2 linked regions of the Pelodiscus sinensis genome follow. The protein of the gene in region 2 interacts with the protein of the main gene of each other region in a biochemical or structural test. Links are inferred from orthologs where the notes say so. Each region holds a gene or a part of one and is shown on either strand. Other genes may lie near its edges.

The links.
Region 1: the proteins of STX3 (region 2) and SNAP23 form a complex in vitro, tested with the Homo sapiens proteins (3 studies listed by BioGRID). The link is inferred for Pelodiscus sinensis from reciprocal best matches to the Homo sapiens genes STX3 and SNAP23.

Annotation. Positions count from the first base shown.
Region 1 is NC_134714.1:66,552,456-66,559,846, reverse strand, and holds the start of SNAP23 (synaptosomal-associated protein 23), read right to left. Parts: upstream 3,429-7,391; 5' UTR 3,267-3,428; intron 597-3,266; exon of another isoform or gene 475-596; intron 1-474. UniProt on the Homo sapiens protein: Essential component of the high affinity receptor for the general membrane fusion machinery and an important regulator of transport vesicle docking and fusion.
Region 2 is NC_134714.1:126,383,869-126,391,727, reverse strand, and holds the start of STX3 (syntaxin-3), read left to right. Parts: upstream 1-4,546; 5' UTR 4,547-4,720; coding exon 4,721-4,750; intron 4,751-7,343; exon of another isoform or gene 7,344-7,376; coding exon of another isoform or gene 7,377-7,385; intron 7,386-7,859. UniProt on the Homo sapiens protein: Potentially involved in docking of synaptic vesicles at presynaptic active zones. Apical receptor involved in membrane fusion of apical vesicles.

The sequences.
Region 1 (7,391 bases), about 60 Mb from region 2:
GCAAGAGGGTTCCAAGTTCCTCAGAACCTTTCCTTCTGTCATCACCTACTCTAGTAACCATCCCAAACTCTTTCTGCAGAAACAAAGGGCTCTATAAGGAAAAAGAAACAAGTTGCTCTTCTAAATGCATCCTGAAAAGAATGCTGATATTCTTCAGTGTGAACTGACAATGGTTAGGAACTTTAGGAAAAGAATAGATAAGGCAGAAAATATAATGCCTCTATATAAAATCCAAGATACTCCCACATAGAACCATAGAATACTAGGACTGGAAGGGACCTCAAGAGGTCATCGAGTCCAGTCCCCTGCCCTCATGGCAGGACCAAATATTGTCTAGACCCGTGGTCATCAACAGGTTGATTGCGATCGACTGGTCGCTCGCAAGGCCTCGACCAGTCAATCGTGAGGCATCCTGCCCAGCTCCCCTCCGCCCCTGCCATTTCCTCCCCACCCCCGAGAAGCCCCACTACCTACCTTAAGTGAAAATGGAGGTAGTGTCGGCTTCCCGGGGATGGACAGAATCCCGCTGCTTAGCACCACTAATGGCGATTACGGAAGTGCGCTAGCTGCTCTGCCAGGCGTTCTGCGGGAGGGAGCATTGGCTCCAGAGGAGGAACACAGCGACTTCTCTGCACTGCACAGGAGGGGTGAGTCAACCCTGGGGCAGGTGTGCGTGAGGCTTCCCTGCTCCGGGGTGTGTGTGTGGGGGGGGGGAAGGGGTGTCAGCCCCAGAGCTGGCACACGAGGCTTCCCTGTGTGTGTGGGGGGGGGGGAAGAGTTGGACCAGGAGGAGGCACGCACTGGCTTTTGGGGGGGGGGGGGGGGAGGAGAGTGGCGAGAAGAATCCTGGGAGGAGGCAGATGCAGGGGACTCTCTGCCTCCACTGCCCCCCCCCCGCCCCGTCCCCACTCCCCTGTCCACAGCTACAGAACTCTGTCCCCACTCCCCGAACTCTGTCCTCATTCCCATCCCGAGCCACAGAACTCTGTCCCCACTGGCACCCTGTCCCCTGCCAAAGCACCCACTAGCACCCTTCCCCAATACTATATCCCCTGTTCCCACCAACACAGTTGGGGCCACATTAGTGAAGCTTGAGGGGGATGGGGTGGAGGAGGGTTTTTTTTGCATCTCACTTGTGTGGCCCCAACTGACTTTTCTTGGGTCAGTGACCCCGGACTCAAGACAGGTTCCCTGCCCTTCTCAGAAATAAAGACAATGCAAAAAACTTTGTTTGACACAGTAGTTTATTTAAAAATGAAGCAAGGCCAACAAACCCCAAATTGGAGCCAAGCCCCCATCTGGCCACAGCATCATAACACTCCTACACTCTCCTTTCCCTCAGACCTGAGCCTATCATACACCAGAACCCCCTGCCCTGAGCTCCTCACATACCCAAACCCAAATTCCTGGATGTGAGGGTTCAGAAATCTGTGGCTTGCTTAGTACCCTAACCCTACATCTGACCCCAACACTGCCCAGCCTGGCACCCTCTCCCAGAGCCAGTGTTCCCTTATCCACCTTCTCCTGCATCCAGATTTCCTCCCAAAGCTTGCACACCTCACCCCTTCCCACACTCAAATCCCTCATCCCCACCCCAGAGCCTACATATCCTGTCTCAACCCAGCAAGATTATGGCTAGACTGCAGGAGTTTTTCAGGATTCTGGAGATAGCCCAGAAAAATTCTTCTGCATCCAGGGACGCATTTGTTCTTCCACTTCTTTTAGTGGAAGAGCAAACATGATCTTTCGGTCACCTCTATATTCCTCTCTCCACAAGGAATAAGGGGGCTTCCAAAAGAAGTTTTTTTTGACATTTGGTCCAGTCTAGACAGGCCAAATGTTGGAAAAACCTCTTCCTACAGAAGAATTGGGGAAAAAAGCAGCAGTATAAGGGCTGGGGATAACAAGTGATGGAGAGAAGGAGAATACAAAGGGCAGAGCTTCAAAGAAGGGGCAGGGCTGTAGATCTTGGCTTGTTCTGTCATTTAAAAAGTGACCTTGGGTGTGAAAAGTTTGGAGACCACTGGTCTAGACCATCCCTGATAGACATTTATCTAACCTACTCTTAAATATATCCAGAGACGGGGATTCCACAACCTCCCTGGGCAATTTATTCCAGTGCTTAACTACCCCTGACAGTTAGGAACTTTTTCCTAATGTCCAACCTAAACCTCCCTTGCTGCAGTTTAAGCCCACTGCTTCTTGCCCTATCCTCAGAGACCAAGGAGAACAATGTCTCCCTCCTCCTCGTGACACCCTTGTAGATGCTTGAAAACTGCTATCATGTTCCCTCTCAGTCGTCCCTTTTCTAAAAGAAACAAGCCAAATTCTTTCAGTCTTCCCTCATAGCTCACATTCTCTAGACCTTTTATGATTCTTGTTGCTCTTCTCTGGACCTTCTCCAATTTCTCCACATCTTTCTTGAAATGTGATGCCCAGAACTGGCACAATACTCCAGTTGAGGCCTAATCAGCGCAGAGTAGAGCAGAAGAATGGCTTCTCCTGTTCTGCTCACAACACTCCCGTCAATGCAGGGACTCCCAACCTGGGGTACGCATACGATACGAGAAGCTTGTCAAGGGTGTGCGGGGAATATTTGGTAAATAACTAGATTATCCTAATTGAAATATTCCAAAAGTAGCAGTGTTAGTGAAAAAAGTTGTGGATTCTAGAGTCTAGAATTTATTTCTTTTCATATTGAATAGGGGGTACGGGAAGGTTTACTAAAAGCCAAGGGGGGGTACAAGGACCGGAAAAGTTGGGAACCCCTGCATTAATGCATCCCAGAATTGTGCTTGCTTTTTTTGCAACTTTTTTTTCCATTGCAAAAAACACTGGAATATTACCAAACACTAGAGACCAAAAAACCCATAGATCATCACACAAGGCTATCTTTATGCGGCTGCATGGGGCACTACTAAGTTTGGGGCACCAGTGCTCTATGCCGCGTTTATCAAGTAGGTAAGACGGGCAGTGTTGGCCCCGGCGGCCCCATCCCCTGGTCCCCATCAGCGCCAGCTGCTCACCCACTGCACCTCACAGGGGCCAGTAGTGGTGTCACCCCCGCTCCCGCCGGGATCCCGCACTAGGGCCGGACGCGCGCAGAGGGAGCCAGCCCGGGGGGGGGGGGGGGCAAGAGCGCTCTCCAGCCTAGCCCAGAGCACCTCACCAGGACTCCGCGCCACCCCACCCCGCCTAGGGCAGGACAACACAGGCCGCCCCGCTCCGACCGGGCGCCACACCCGGAGGTTTCCGCCTTTTCCCACCTGCAGCTGGCGCCTCTCACAGCCACCGCCAAGTCCGGAGCGCGAGCGGAGCCGTCGCTTTAATGCTCCATACTGAGTCTCGTCGCACCAGCAACACCTGCCCGGCAGGCAGAGCCACCGACCCCGCCCGCCCCACCGGAACTGGAACCGGAACTCAGCACCGCCCACCTGCCGGCAAACCAGGAAGAGCCACATTCAACATGGTGGAGAGAAAGGCACCTCGTGGGCCACACTCAGCATGGCGGCTGGCCCCATTGTCGCGACCGCCACCCAGCAGAGCGAGAAAAGAGCGAGCCGCGCGGACTCGCACAATCAACATGGCGGAGAGCGGAGGTCAGTCGACCTAAGCCGGAACACCGAGCTAGCTCCGAGCATGCGCGCTGACTGTCAGTCTCTTTCCTGCTCTCAGCAAGCGGGGCCGGGTCTGCAGCAGCGACCTTTGTTCTTCCCCAGCGATGCGGGATCCTGCTTGTCTCCTGCTCTTGGATGTTGACGCTGGGTTTCTGAAATATTTTTGTTTGTCTTATGAGCCTTGTCGTGCCTCTTGTCTCAGCTTCAGTCCCAGTGCTAGTCCCCAGCCTGGGCAGGCAGGAAGCCTGTAGGGTGATTTTTCACTCGTTTGTAAGGACTTCTCTTGATTGGTGTCTAACATGTCAAGTCCTACATGTAAAAACCATAATTATTTTGTCTTGTTTTTCAATTTGCGCTGGTTAGGCCTCAGTTGGAGTATTGTGTCCAGTTCTGGGCACATTTCAAGAAAGATGTGGAGAAATTGGAGGGGGTCCAGAGAAGAGCAACAAGAATGATTAAAGGTCTAGAGAACATGACCTGTGAAGGAAGGCTGAAAGAACTGGGTTTATTTAGTTTAGAAAAGAGAAGACTGAGGGGGGGGGGACATGATAGCCATTTTCAGGTACCTAAAAGGGTGTCATGAGGAGGGAGAAAACTTGTTCATCTTGGCCTCTGAGGATAGAACAAGCAGCAATGGGCTTAAACTGCAGCAAGGGAGGTTTAGGTTGGACATTAGGAAAAAGTTCCTAACTGCCAAGGTAGTTAAGCACTGGAATAAATTGCCCAGGGAGGTTGTGGAATCTCCGTCTCTGGATATATTTAAGAGTAGGTTAGATAAATGTCTATCAGGGATAGTCTAGACAGTATTTGGTCCTGCCATGGAGGCAGGGAGTGGACTCGATGACCTCTCAAGGTCCCTTCCAGTCGTAGTATTCTATGATTCTATGATTTTGTATGTGTGTGAATTTCCCCAGAATATGTAAGGGAGATCAGGAAATGTACCAAAGTTTCTGAAACTGCAGACTAGAATCAATAACACGACCTCAAGTGTACATATAGTGAATGATAACACTTCCCCTTCCCCAATATAGGGGCAAATGTTAATGCCTTTATTCATGTTGAAAAATCTCTGTATCATATCAGTAGCTGTTTGCAATGTCCCTGTAGCCCTACTGGTCCCAAGATATGAGAGAGACAGGGTGGATATGGGTAGTATCTCTTATTGATCAATGTTGCTGCATGGTGCTGTGATGGACCACAGCAATTTCTGCTTCCAAAAAACTACAGTTGTCAAAAGGCAATTGCCAGTTGCTGCCCTGAGCCACAGAAACTACCATTTCCCTCTGCTTTCCTTTCAGATGAGCGAACCAAGCTTTTGAACTGATCTCTTTTTCAGTTTTATCAGTAAGACTAGTCTCAGAGTAACACACCACTTATCCTGTAAGGGTAGTGAAATAGGCCCATAATGGGAAAGAGGAATAGACAGAAAGAAAAACTACATTTGCTGGGGATGGGAAGTTACTGTTCAGAGCCAAGGAACAGATAGTATTCTATTCTATAGCAGTGTAAGTTCTACATTTAAATAGCAGTTATTCTCTTATTAGCTACTCATTAGGATTCTGTTGATTCCCAGACTGGTTGAGTCCAAGAGTCCCTCAGCAGAATATAGTCGTAAAGTAGACTGTGATGACCTAGTAAGCATATGATGCCCCTTTTTCTGATGTTGAGTTCTCCCATGATAGCCTCAGCAAAGTCTCCATGGCTTCCGGCTACTGAGCTGTTCTGCTTGTTAGTGATTTACAAGGCAAACGCCTCAGGGCTGGAGCCTTTTCCCATGTTCTGCAAAGTGCCAAGTACACGTATTGCACCATATAAAGTGCACCAGGACCCCATCCGGTCCTGTGTGATCAGCGTTGCTGCTGGCGGGCGGCAGGGTGCCGCGATGGACCACAGCAATTTCCGCTCCCAAAAAACTACAATAGCCAACAGGCCAAGCGCGGCCCTGATCCGCAGAAACGGCCGTTTCCCAGCGTGCAGGCAGTGTGCCGCGCTCGCGGATTGGCTGCGGGAGCGCACGCTCCCCTGGTCCTGCGCCGCGCTTCCCTCTCGGGTCGCGCTTCTCAGCCGTTTTCCTGGGGGAGCCGCGGCCGGCCCCGGGTAGGCAGCGGGGCCTGCTCGGTTCGAGCCGCGTGATGGGCGGCGGGGCTGCCGCGCTGTCGTGGGACCAGGAGGACGCGGCCTGTGAGTAAAGTCCTGGCGGGCAGGGGCTCGGCGCCTGGAGATGCTGCTCCCTTGGAGGGGGTGGGGATCGGTAATGGCTCAGGAATGTGTGTGGGATGGGGAGCGGGTGCAGAGGCGGCGGGGCAGGGGGTGTCGGGGGAGACAGGCCGGGGGGAGGGGGTGACAGTGGGCCGTGGCTAGGAAGGCGGCGCGGGATGGCTCTTGCAGTATAGTGTGTGTGTTTTTTCTAACGCCGTTGCTCTTGATCTTTTGCCATTGGGTTGTGCAGAATTTCTCCAGCATCAAAGCAAACGCCTATTTACAGATCTTTAACTCCTCCCCGACCGCTATACTGGTATCTGAACTGTGCCGGTAGTAGCTGCCCTGCTTTATGCCCATACTCACTCTGTCACTCAGGTATGGTAGCACATCTGAAAACAGGGGTGAACTTGCATCTAAATATATCCAGTGTGTGAGGTTGGTGAAGGGTACATGTAGGTGAAAATGTTAATTTGGTCTTGTAATATGCCAAAATATCAGACACACGTTTTGGAAGATGATGCATTTTAAAGTAAGCACCTATGCTTCTAAAAAGCAACGAGTCTTGTGGCACATTATAGACCAATGTTTCCCAATTTTATTTGGCCACAGAACTCTTTTAAACTTGAAAGAATTTTGCAGAACCCCGAATAACAGTCTAATATATGGAGCTGAAAAAGTAGACCACAAATAAGTAAGGAAAATAATAAACAAATGCTAAACAAGGTCACGAGATCAACATTTAGTTTAATTGCACATATCTAAAAAGAAAACTCATATAATATTAATTTTTTTAATAAAAAATGTTGTTGTAATGGAATTTTCTCATGGAACCCTTATTTTCACTTCATGGAACTCCTGGGTTCCATGAAATACCATTAGGGAAACACTGTTACAGGCAGTCCCCGAGTTACGCGGATCCGACTTACGTTGGATCCGCAGTTACGAACGGGTCCCTCCCTCTCCCTGGTCTCCAGCAGACCAGGGAGAGGAAGCAAAGCGGCGGAACATGCGGGCAGCGGACAGCACAGACGCGTCTGGGCTGTCCGCTGCCCGCGTGTTCCGCCGCTTTGCTCCCCGTCCCCCTGGTCTGCAGACCAGGGGGACGGGGAGCAAAGCAGAGCAAAGCTGCGGAGCCTGGGGTTCTTAAGTTGAATCTGTATGTAAGTCAGAACTGGCATCCAGATTCAGCCGCTGTTGAAACTGATCAGTTTCAGCAGCGGCTGAATCTGGATGCCAGTTCCGACTTACATACAGATTCAACTTAAGAACAAACCTACAGTCCCTATCTTGTACATAACCCGGGGACTGCCTGTATAGCCTAGTATCAGAGGGGTAGCCGTGTTGGTCTGGATCCGCAAAAGCGACAAGGAGTCCTGTGGCACCTTATAGTCTAACACAGGGGTCTCCAAACTACGGCCCGCGGGCCGGATGCGGCCCGCGAGGCCCTCTCATCCGGCTCGTGGAGACCGTCCCTGGGGCGCCGCCGAACGGGCCCTTCTTGCCGCGGTGGGGGGGCCCTGTCAGGGGTGTGCGGCGTGTACTCACGCCGCGCCGGGGCAGGAGAAGCGGGCC
Region 2 (7,859 bases):
GCAGGATGGCCCAGTCTCAGGAGTTTACCAGCAGGCCCAGTCTCAGGAGTTTACCAGAGGGCTCATGTCTTTTTAAGGTGTTTCATGTTCTCCCGTACATAGCCTTGCTCGTATCCCAAATGGCCGCCCTCTCCCAAGTATTGCTGGCGTTATCAAAGTCACAGGCTGCCCTTTGTCAAGATGGCTACTGTTTCTCCATAGCCTTTCAAGGTGAAAGCCCCTAGGAAAGATGGCTGTTGTCGCCCGTCGTTTTTAGGGGGATTCAAGCATGGTTGTCCTTTGGGAAGACAGTAATCTCTTCTAGCCCAGACTCCCAAGTGCTCAGTGTACCCTTGGCACACACTCTGTGTGGTGCTGTGCCCACCTCCAGATATGGCTGGGACACAGAGACAGCCTGCGATAGCCACAGCTAATAGAGATCAGTTTTTTAACTTAGGCAGTGAAGGCCGAGTATTGCCAAGCAGAGCTATTAAGGTGACAGCACGATCTGGGGAATCTTTAGACCCTTTTCTAGGCCCACAGCGCTTTACATTCCCCCCACCCAGAGCTGTGGCAGGGTAGACATTGCATTCCCCCAAATAAATAATCTATAAATACAACTGCTGCCCTCTTTATTTTTTACAAAAAAAGTATTAATAAACGTACCATATATTTTAGAAATGTCTGCCTGTCTGTGAGTCTGTTTGTTCAGGAATTCCTCCTACATGGTAAGAGCTAGGACCACCAAATTTCAGGATACAGCTTCCTCTTATCAAAACATACAGCAAGGTCAGGATTTGGTTGTGCCAAGACAATGGGATGTGCCTGGAATTTTATTGTTTCTTATAAGATGGAAAGGAGGGGCCTGGTAAGAGGGAGTTATACTGTAGAATGACCACAGGGGGGCAGCAAGGTGCCAGAGATGGGGATTGGCACAGCTATACTCCCATTGAGCCAGCAAGGGGCCAGGGTAGAGAAAAGAGCAGCTATCGACTATATATTTCTGACAGTTCGTCTGTCTGTGTGTCTGTCTGGCCCACAGCCAGAGCATATATACCCCTCCTGTGTGTTTGCTGCCCCCAAACTGCTGCAGTGAGAGAGGGCTGGTGTTGCCCTCTTTTCTAGTAGCAACCTTCACCCTAAACACCACATCCCAACCCCAACCCCACCCCCAAGCAATGATTTAAATGAGGTAAGGACCCAAGCAATGCCGGGTAAATCTTCTAGTAGTCTATACATTCCCCACTTCCCAAATAAATACTCTATACATATCATTTCTGCCCTCTTTTTTAATTAAAAATATATTAATTTTTCAAGACATAGAATTGAAACAATGCCACGAGGAAGACATTTAGAGCAGCATTTCAGATATTATCCCTGACAGCCGAATAAAGGAATGCAGCCATACAGGTCTCTTGCTTTCTGGTTTTTGCTTCTGCGTGCTTTCTTTTAATAAAACAGGCCAATAAGCAAAACCAAACCCAATGTCTAGTGGTATGTGTGTGGCCACAATTTTCAAAAGTGACTGGTGAAAGCAGCTTGTGAAATGACCTTGCGTGAGCAGCAAATTTGTCAGCGACCTCAAGAGATGTGCCATTGATAGACACCACTGGAATAGTTGCAGCATTTCTTGATCGAGACTGAAGCATGACTCCTGCCTTCTTCAGGCAGACAGTTAAGCCAAAACATTTTGCAGCCCAGGAAAAGCAGTCAGGGCTTGACTACACTATGGAGAAAATTGACCCTCCGGAGGTCGATCGTCTAGTGTTTGATTTAGCAGAGCTAGTATAGATCCCCAAATTGAACACTGAGGGCAGCCCCTGCCGGCATGGTGTACTCCTCATTCTGTGTGGGGTAAGGGAAGCCGATGTGAGCGTGTGCTCCTGTTGGCTTCCCACAGTGTAGATGCTGCGGCGGCTGGGCTTAAGATAAGCTGATTCCAGCTACGCATTTTGCTGATCTTCCTGGTCTAGTGTAGACCAGGCCCCAGTGAGCAACTGACTGTCCCGGAAGTTATGGGCCAATAAAACACAATCATCAATGAACAGTAGTTCAATTGTCTTCCTAACTTGTGTCTTTGCCGGCATGCAGTACAGCTAGAAGACACTGCCATCCACAGGGTACTCACATAAACGCCATAATCAATGTCTCCGAATGCATCTATTATCACAGCTGCCAACACGATGCTAAATAGTGTGCAAGCTGGAGCACAGCCATGTTTTACTCCACAGCCAAGGGAGCTGAAACGCAGCCTCAGATAAGGACATGAAGCGGCATTCCCACATGGAATGATTTAGTGATGTTCAGAAATTTACTGAGGAAGCGGAACTTGGGGAGGACTGTCCACGGACTCTCTCCGGTGACAGAGTCAAAGACAATAGTCAGATGGGAATGGGAGGCAGACAGAGCTCCTGGCAGAGGGAAGAAGTGGGTGCACACAAAGCCCCTGCCATGGGGGCCCTGGTATAGGGAAAGACAGGAATGGAAGCACAGTGAACCCCTGGGAAGGAGGGGATTGGAAGAAAGAAGGAATGGGGACCCCGGGGGTGGGGGATGGAAATGAGGGAGCATACAGACCCCTGCTATGGAGGGGAGAAGGGGGACTATAGAATGAGGGAGGGAGGAAGGGAGCACAAAGAGTGTTTGCTGTTCGGAGGATGTTGGAATAGGTGTTCATGCAAAGCAGGTGGAAAAATGGGGACCTCTGGTATGGAAGGTAGGGGACATGGGGCACACAGAGACCCTGCCTGGGGGATCCTCACTACAATAGAGGGGGTGTGAGGGTGGCATCCAGGGAGCTATTGGGGCGAGTGGACAGAGGCAAGGAGCCCCCAGGGTACAATAAGCTCATCAGATACAAGCAACATGTGCAACCCCTAGTAACCCCTCCCTAGTCCCTAGGAAGAATTTCTCTGGGGCAGGTACTCTGTAGGATAAGCTCTATGCAGGCATCCTTACAAGCTCTGGGGACAGAAGTGGGGCAGGGAGGGAGTGTAATTCAAATCCAACATACTTATATGCCCCCCATCATTGTGATATCTGAGCACCTCGCAGACTTTAATGTATTGGTCCTCACACACAGGGCAGTGCTATTAAGCCCAATGCACAGATAGGCAAACAGAGGTGCAGAGGGACAAGATCACACAAGAAATCTGTGGCAGGGCAGAGAATTCAGTGTGGGTCTCCAGCCAACACTCTAACCACTAGGCAAGCCTACCCTGACCTTAATTCACACCTTTAGGGCCACTCTGGATCACAGGGCTGTCATAACTTAGAGAGAGGACTGACCTGGCCCCTGACTTGCCCAGAACTAAGGGAGGCACAAAGGTGGTGTAAAGTCATTTTTGCTTCCTCTCCCTTGAGCTGAGCCATGCAATCCCCCCTCACCGAATCTTAAACATCTTCAATCAAAATAGCTCCCTTTCTCAATCAGGTTTCATATTAGCCCAGCTCCCCTCCTCCCTTTCCCCTCCTTTCCATTTTCTTTAAAGATGACAAAGAAGTAAAGAACGTCACAAGCTCCATTTATTATTTCCTTGCAGAGTTCACCAGGGAGGAGCTGAACCTGAAAGGTGCTGGCTCTCACTGGAGCTGGGGACAAGTCCCTCAGGCAATCAGGCTGTCAGCTGGACCTTTAAAGGGACCCTGTCACCTTAAAAATCATCACACACATGCTGGACACAATCAAAGCCCACCCAAAATGCCAAGGCCCTGATGTTGCAATGAGCCCTGGGCAGGTGGGCCCCCAATTCCTGTTGCTTGGGCCCCATCTCCTTCCCTGCCTTAGTAACTGGCCTCAGCAATGATTAAATCCAAAGGAATTTTAACAGCCTTTTAACAGCTGAGGTGTTTGTTCTGGGCTTTTCCTTCTGTGACAGCAGACAAGGCATGGGGAGGTACCATAAATCAGTGTTCCCTGTAAGCTGAGTGCTTGGGTGACCACCCAGGAGAGAATCAAATGCCGCCCAGCTGATTAGCAGAGCGCCCACATGTGTTTCTGTGGGTGGTGCACATATGCGCATGCCTCGGTGCATATAACAAAATTTATTCCGCACAGGGAATGGAATCAAGTTCGAGGGAACATCACATGCAATCCCTGCTCATTTTCCCAAGCGGGGAGGCAAAGGCGGGCTGGCTGAAAAATTCCCATTTGATTACAAGCCACAAGCAGGGCAGGAGAGGTTTCTCTGAGCAATCCTGTTGTCTGATCTGGGCAAACCTTGGAGTCTGAGCCCAGCCCAGCTTGGCCTGCCTGTCCCTTTAATTGGTGTGGCCGGGTGGCTCCCAGGTCATTAGAGAGCCAGGGTGGAGGAGGTCATGTCTTTGATCGCACCGACGTCGGCTGGCCACAGAGCTGCTCACGCCGCCTGCCTCACCTTTGCCTCCCTCGTGGCTGATCCCTCGTGCACCTGCGGGGCAGCTGACTCCTGCACAGGTGGAGGAGGAGGCTCCTCTCTGTCTCCTCCCCCTCTCCGGCCAGCTCGCTCCCGCCCAGTGGATGTCATTGAGGAGCAGCAGCTGGCGGCTGCCTGAGGATCAGCTGCGCCCGGCCGCCCGCGGAGGCACAGAGCGAGAGCAGGGGAGAGCCGAGCCGAGCCGAGCCGGGCCGGGGGTTATTGTTTGTCCCGCTTTAAGGAACCTCCCCCCCTCCCCCTAGCTCGGTGGGAGGGAGGCGAAGCACAGTCCAGGACTTCCTGGAGCCAGCCGCGCCCGCACCTGCTGGGAGGAGCAGCGGGGCACCATGAAGGATCGGCTGGAGCAGCTGAAAGCCGTGAGTTCGCCCCCCCCCCCCCCCCGGGCCGAGCCGGGGGGCTGCAGCAGGGCGTCCCGTGTCCGGGCTAATAATCAGACTGGCCTTTTATAGCGCGTGGGGGGCTCGCCCGCTGTGGGGGACACTTGCGCCCCCCCCCTCCCCCGCGCCGTCCCTGGTCGGTCCCCCCCCCCCCAGTGGTCTGTCCACTGTTGTTCTCCCTCCCCGTGCCTCGGTCTGTCCGCTAGCATTCCTTTCCCCCTCTCTTCTCCCCCCCCCCCCGCCAAGTGCCTCGGTCTGTCCGCTCATCCTCCCCCCCCCCCCCCCCACCAGTGTCCTGGTATGTCCAGTGTCATCCCCACCCCCAGCTCCTTGGTCTATCCAGTATCATCCACTCCTCTCAGCTCCCTTATATGGGTTAAGGAGGGAAATAATTAAGCGTCCCCCCCCCCCCAATTTGGAGACTCTTCTCGCTCCAGAAGAGAAGCTGGAGGGTATTGGGGGGGGGGGGGGCAGCATGATGTGTAATGCTGCATTGGGGGCAGCCCCACTGCAGGGGTATTAATGCTCCGGGAGGAGGAGGGAGTGAGAACAGCATCTGCATGAAATGTCCTGAAGATTAAACTGGTGAAGATTGAGGTTGTTCTGCCCTCTGAGACCAGGGAGTGGGGCACGGGCTAGTGGCCGTTGGCTATCTTAGAAGGAGGAACCTGGAGGGGCAGTTGAGACTGGGGGGGGGACCATTTCTTCAGCCTAACCTTCCTCAACACCCCCTCCCTCCCGCTTGTATTAGGATGAGTTGAGCTGGCAACTTCCTCCTTTGCTTTTCCTCCTGGGGAAGTTTTTTTTTTTTTTTCCTGCCCATTGCTCAGCTTGGCCGTTAACGGCCTTGCCCGCAGTGGGACCCCACAATGACAGTTCCCGCAGGGTCATGCCCGGTATTGCCATGACACTTTTCTCAGTGGCTGTCTTTGCTCCCCTCCCCCCCCACCACAAGGGCACCTGCTGACTGATCATGGGGATGGGTTAGTGCCTGGGGCTACTCTTTAGAGGGTTGCTTGGGAGCACTGCCTCTGGTGCTGGTTTCTTTTGTGTGCGTGTGTGGGGGTTGCTTGTGAGCGCTGGGTGCTGTGCACAATGTGGTGTTAGTGTAAGGACACTCGTGAGCTGCGTTGTGCTTGGAGGGTTGCTTGCACCCACCTTTCCTTATGTGAGCCTGTGCAAGCTCCCAGGGGCCACATGATGGGAGGGGTCCCAGAGGGAGCTGCGCACGTAAGTTAGTGTAGGCTACTGGTGAGAATTGTGTATGAGCCCTTGGCGGGGTCACTGGTGTCAGATGACAGGCCGCTGGGGTGAGGCTGCCTGCTGGCACGGGGTCAGATTCTCACTGCTTTCGTTGCCAGGAAGCGCTTGTTAAACATGTATCAGACAAAGGGATGAACACAGGGAATCCAAGGCCAAACTAAACTCTGTCTCCATCCTGCCAGGGCAGGTCTCTGTCTGTGAGGCTCCAGGGTTAGCTGTCCCCTCCCTGCTCTTTTCCCCTGCCTGCTTGGCACCGGCCCAGGTGCAATACAGGCTGTGCCTTGCCTAGGAGCATGTGGGCAGCAATTGAGCTGAACTGGGTGGGAACTCTGGGGTTGGGTACCCTGTATGCTGCTTCTTTGCTTCAGGGTAGCTCTGTGGCTTTTGGTCAGAGGTATCAGAGAAATTGTATATAGTGTTGTGGGAAGTGGGTCTAGTTCCCAGTCTGGAATGCATCCCGTTCAAGAGAGCAGGTATTTGAAGACTAAACCATCCCTGTTGTGTCCTGTTGCCTGAGGCAACTACATCTGCTGCCTATCTTCTCCAGGTTTGGTGATAGTCCACTCCACCAGGCTGGGCTATAGTGATGAGGGGTGAGAGCATGGGCCTAGACACCTGGAGCTCTTTCCCTGGGTCACTGTGTGACTTTACCTGGGTCTCTCCTCCTGTGCCTCAGTTTCCCCATCTGTGAAATAGGGCTAATGATCCACTGATCCCAGACGGCAGGGGAAAGGCCACACTTTCTGGCTTTGCTACAAAAGGAGAGAGGGGGAAGGTTGCTGTGGGGAATGAAGATGTGGCAAAGGAAGGGCACGGGGGAGGGGAAATCTGTAGGGCTTTGAGCGGGAACAATGACACAACCCAACTCCCTCTGTGCAGGCCTTCCAGAGGTGACACTGCCCCAGCCTTGGGGCCCTGTGCCTTGTTTGAATTGCACCTGCTATAGGAGGCCCTGTGAGGAGATCCAAACAATGGCTCTTTTCATGGGGCGAGAGCAGGCTGTGCCAGAAAACAGGCCCCTGATAGGAACCAGCATCTCCTGAGGTAAATGTTCACCCTAAGGATCACATCAGGCCTGTCAAACTAACAGCTTCCTCCCAAAAAAGCCTTGACCTGCCCGGAATGGATGGATCAGATGGATCTCTTGTCCCAGAGCAGAGGCCGTTCCCAGTCTAGATGTGTCCCTGCAGAACACAAGGGGTTAAACTCAGCCCTTCGCCATCACCCCAGTGACGGCTAGAAAACAAGAGCGCTCAGTTGTTCACTGAAAGGCAGTTTGCAGATTTATTTTCTGCATGGGACCAACCAGAGACAGAGAAATCTGTGTCCTCACAGTCGCCTGATGATTCAGGTACTCCTGTGGGACGTCAGAGACCAATTTCTGCCTTGAATCGGGGAGAGGGGGGGCCTTGAACCAGTGACTCTTGTGTTACAGGTGGACTATTCTGGGGTCAGTCTCTCTCTCTTTGCTTTGGGGTGGGGGTTCATCTTTGTGGTACAGATGTGCTCTGAGCTCTCCTCTTTCTGCTGGTCCTGGGGTTACCCTGTTGGAGGCTGGGAGAGAAGGGGGCGGGGGAGAGTGACAGGGATTTAGCTGGGATTACAAAGCCATCAGCCAGAAGAAGAGGAGATAAAATGCTGGAGGGAGGGGGGAGCAAGAGAAGGGGATTAATTTTATTTTTATTCCGCGTTGGGCTGGAGTCCCAAATTGGCAGTGGGAGGGGGGGGTGAAGGGAGGAGGAGCTATGGACAGCTAACATGGCTGATCTGTCTTGGAAACGGTTCTGTCCTGCCCCGGGGGGTTTACCAGGATATCAGCAGGATG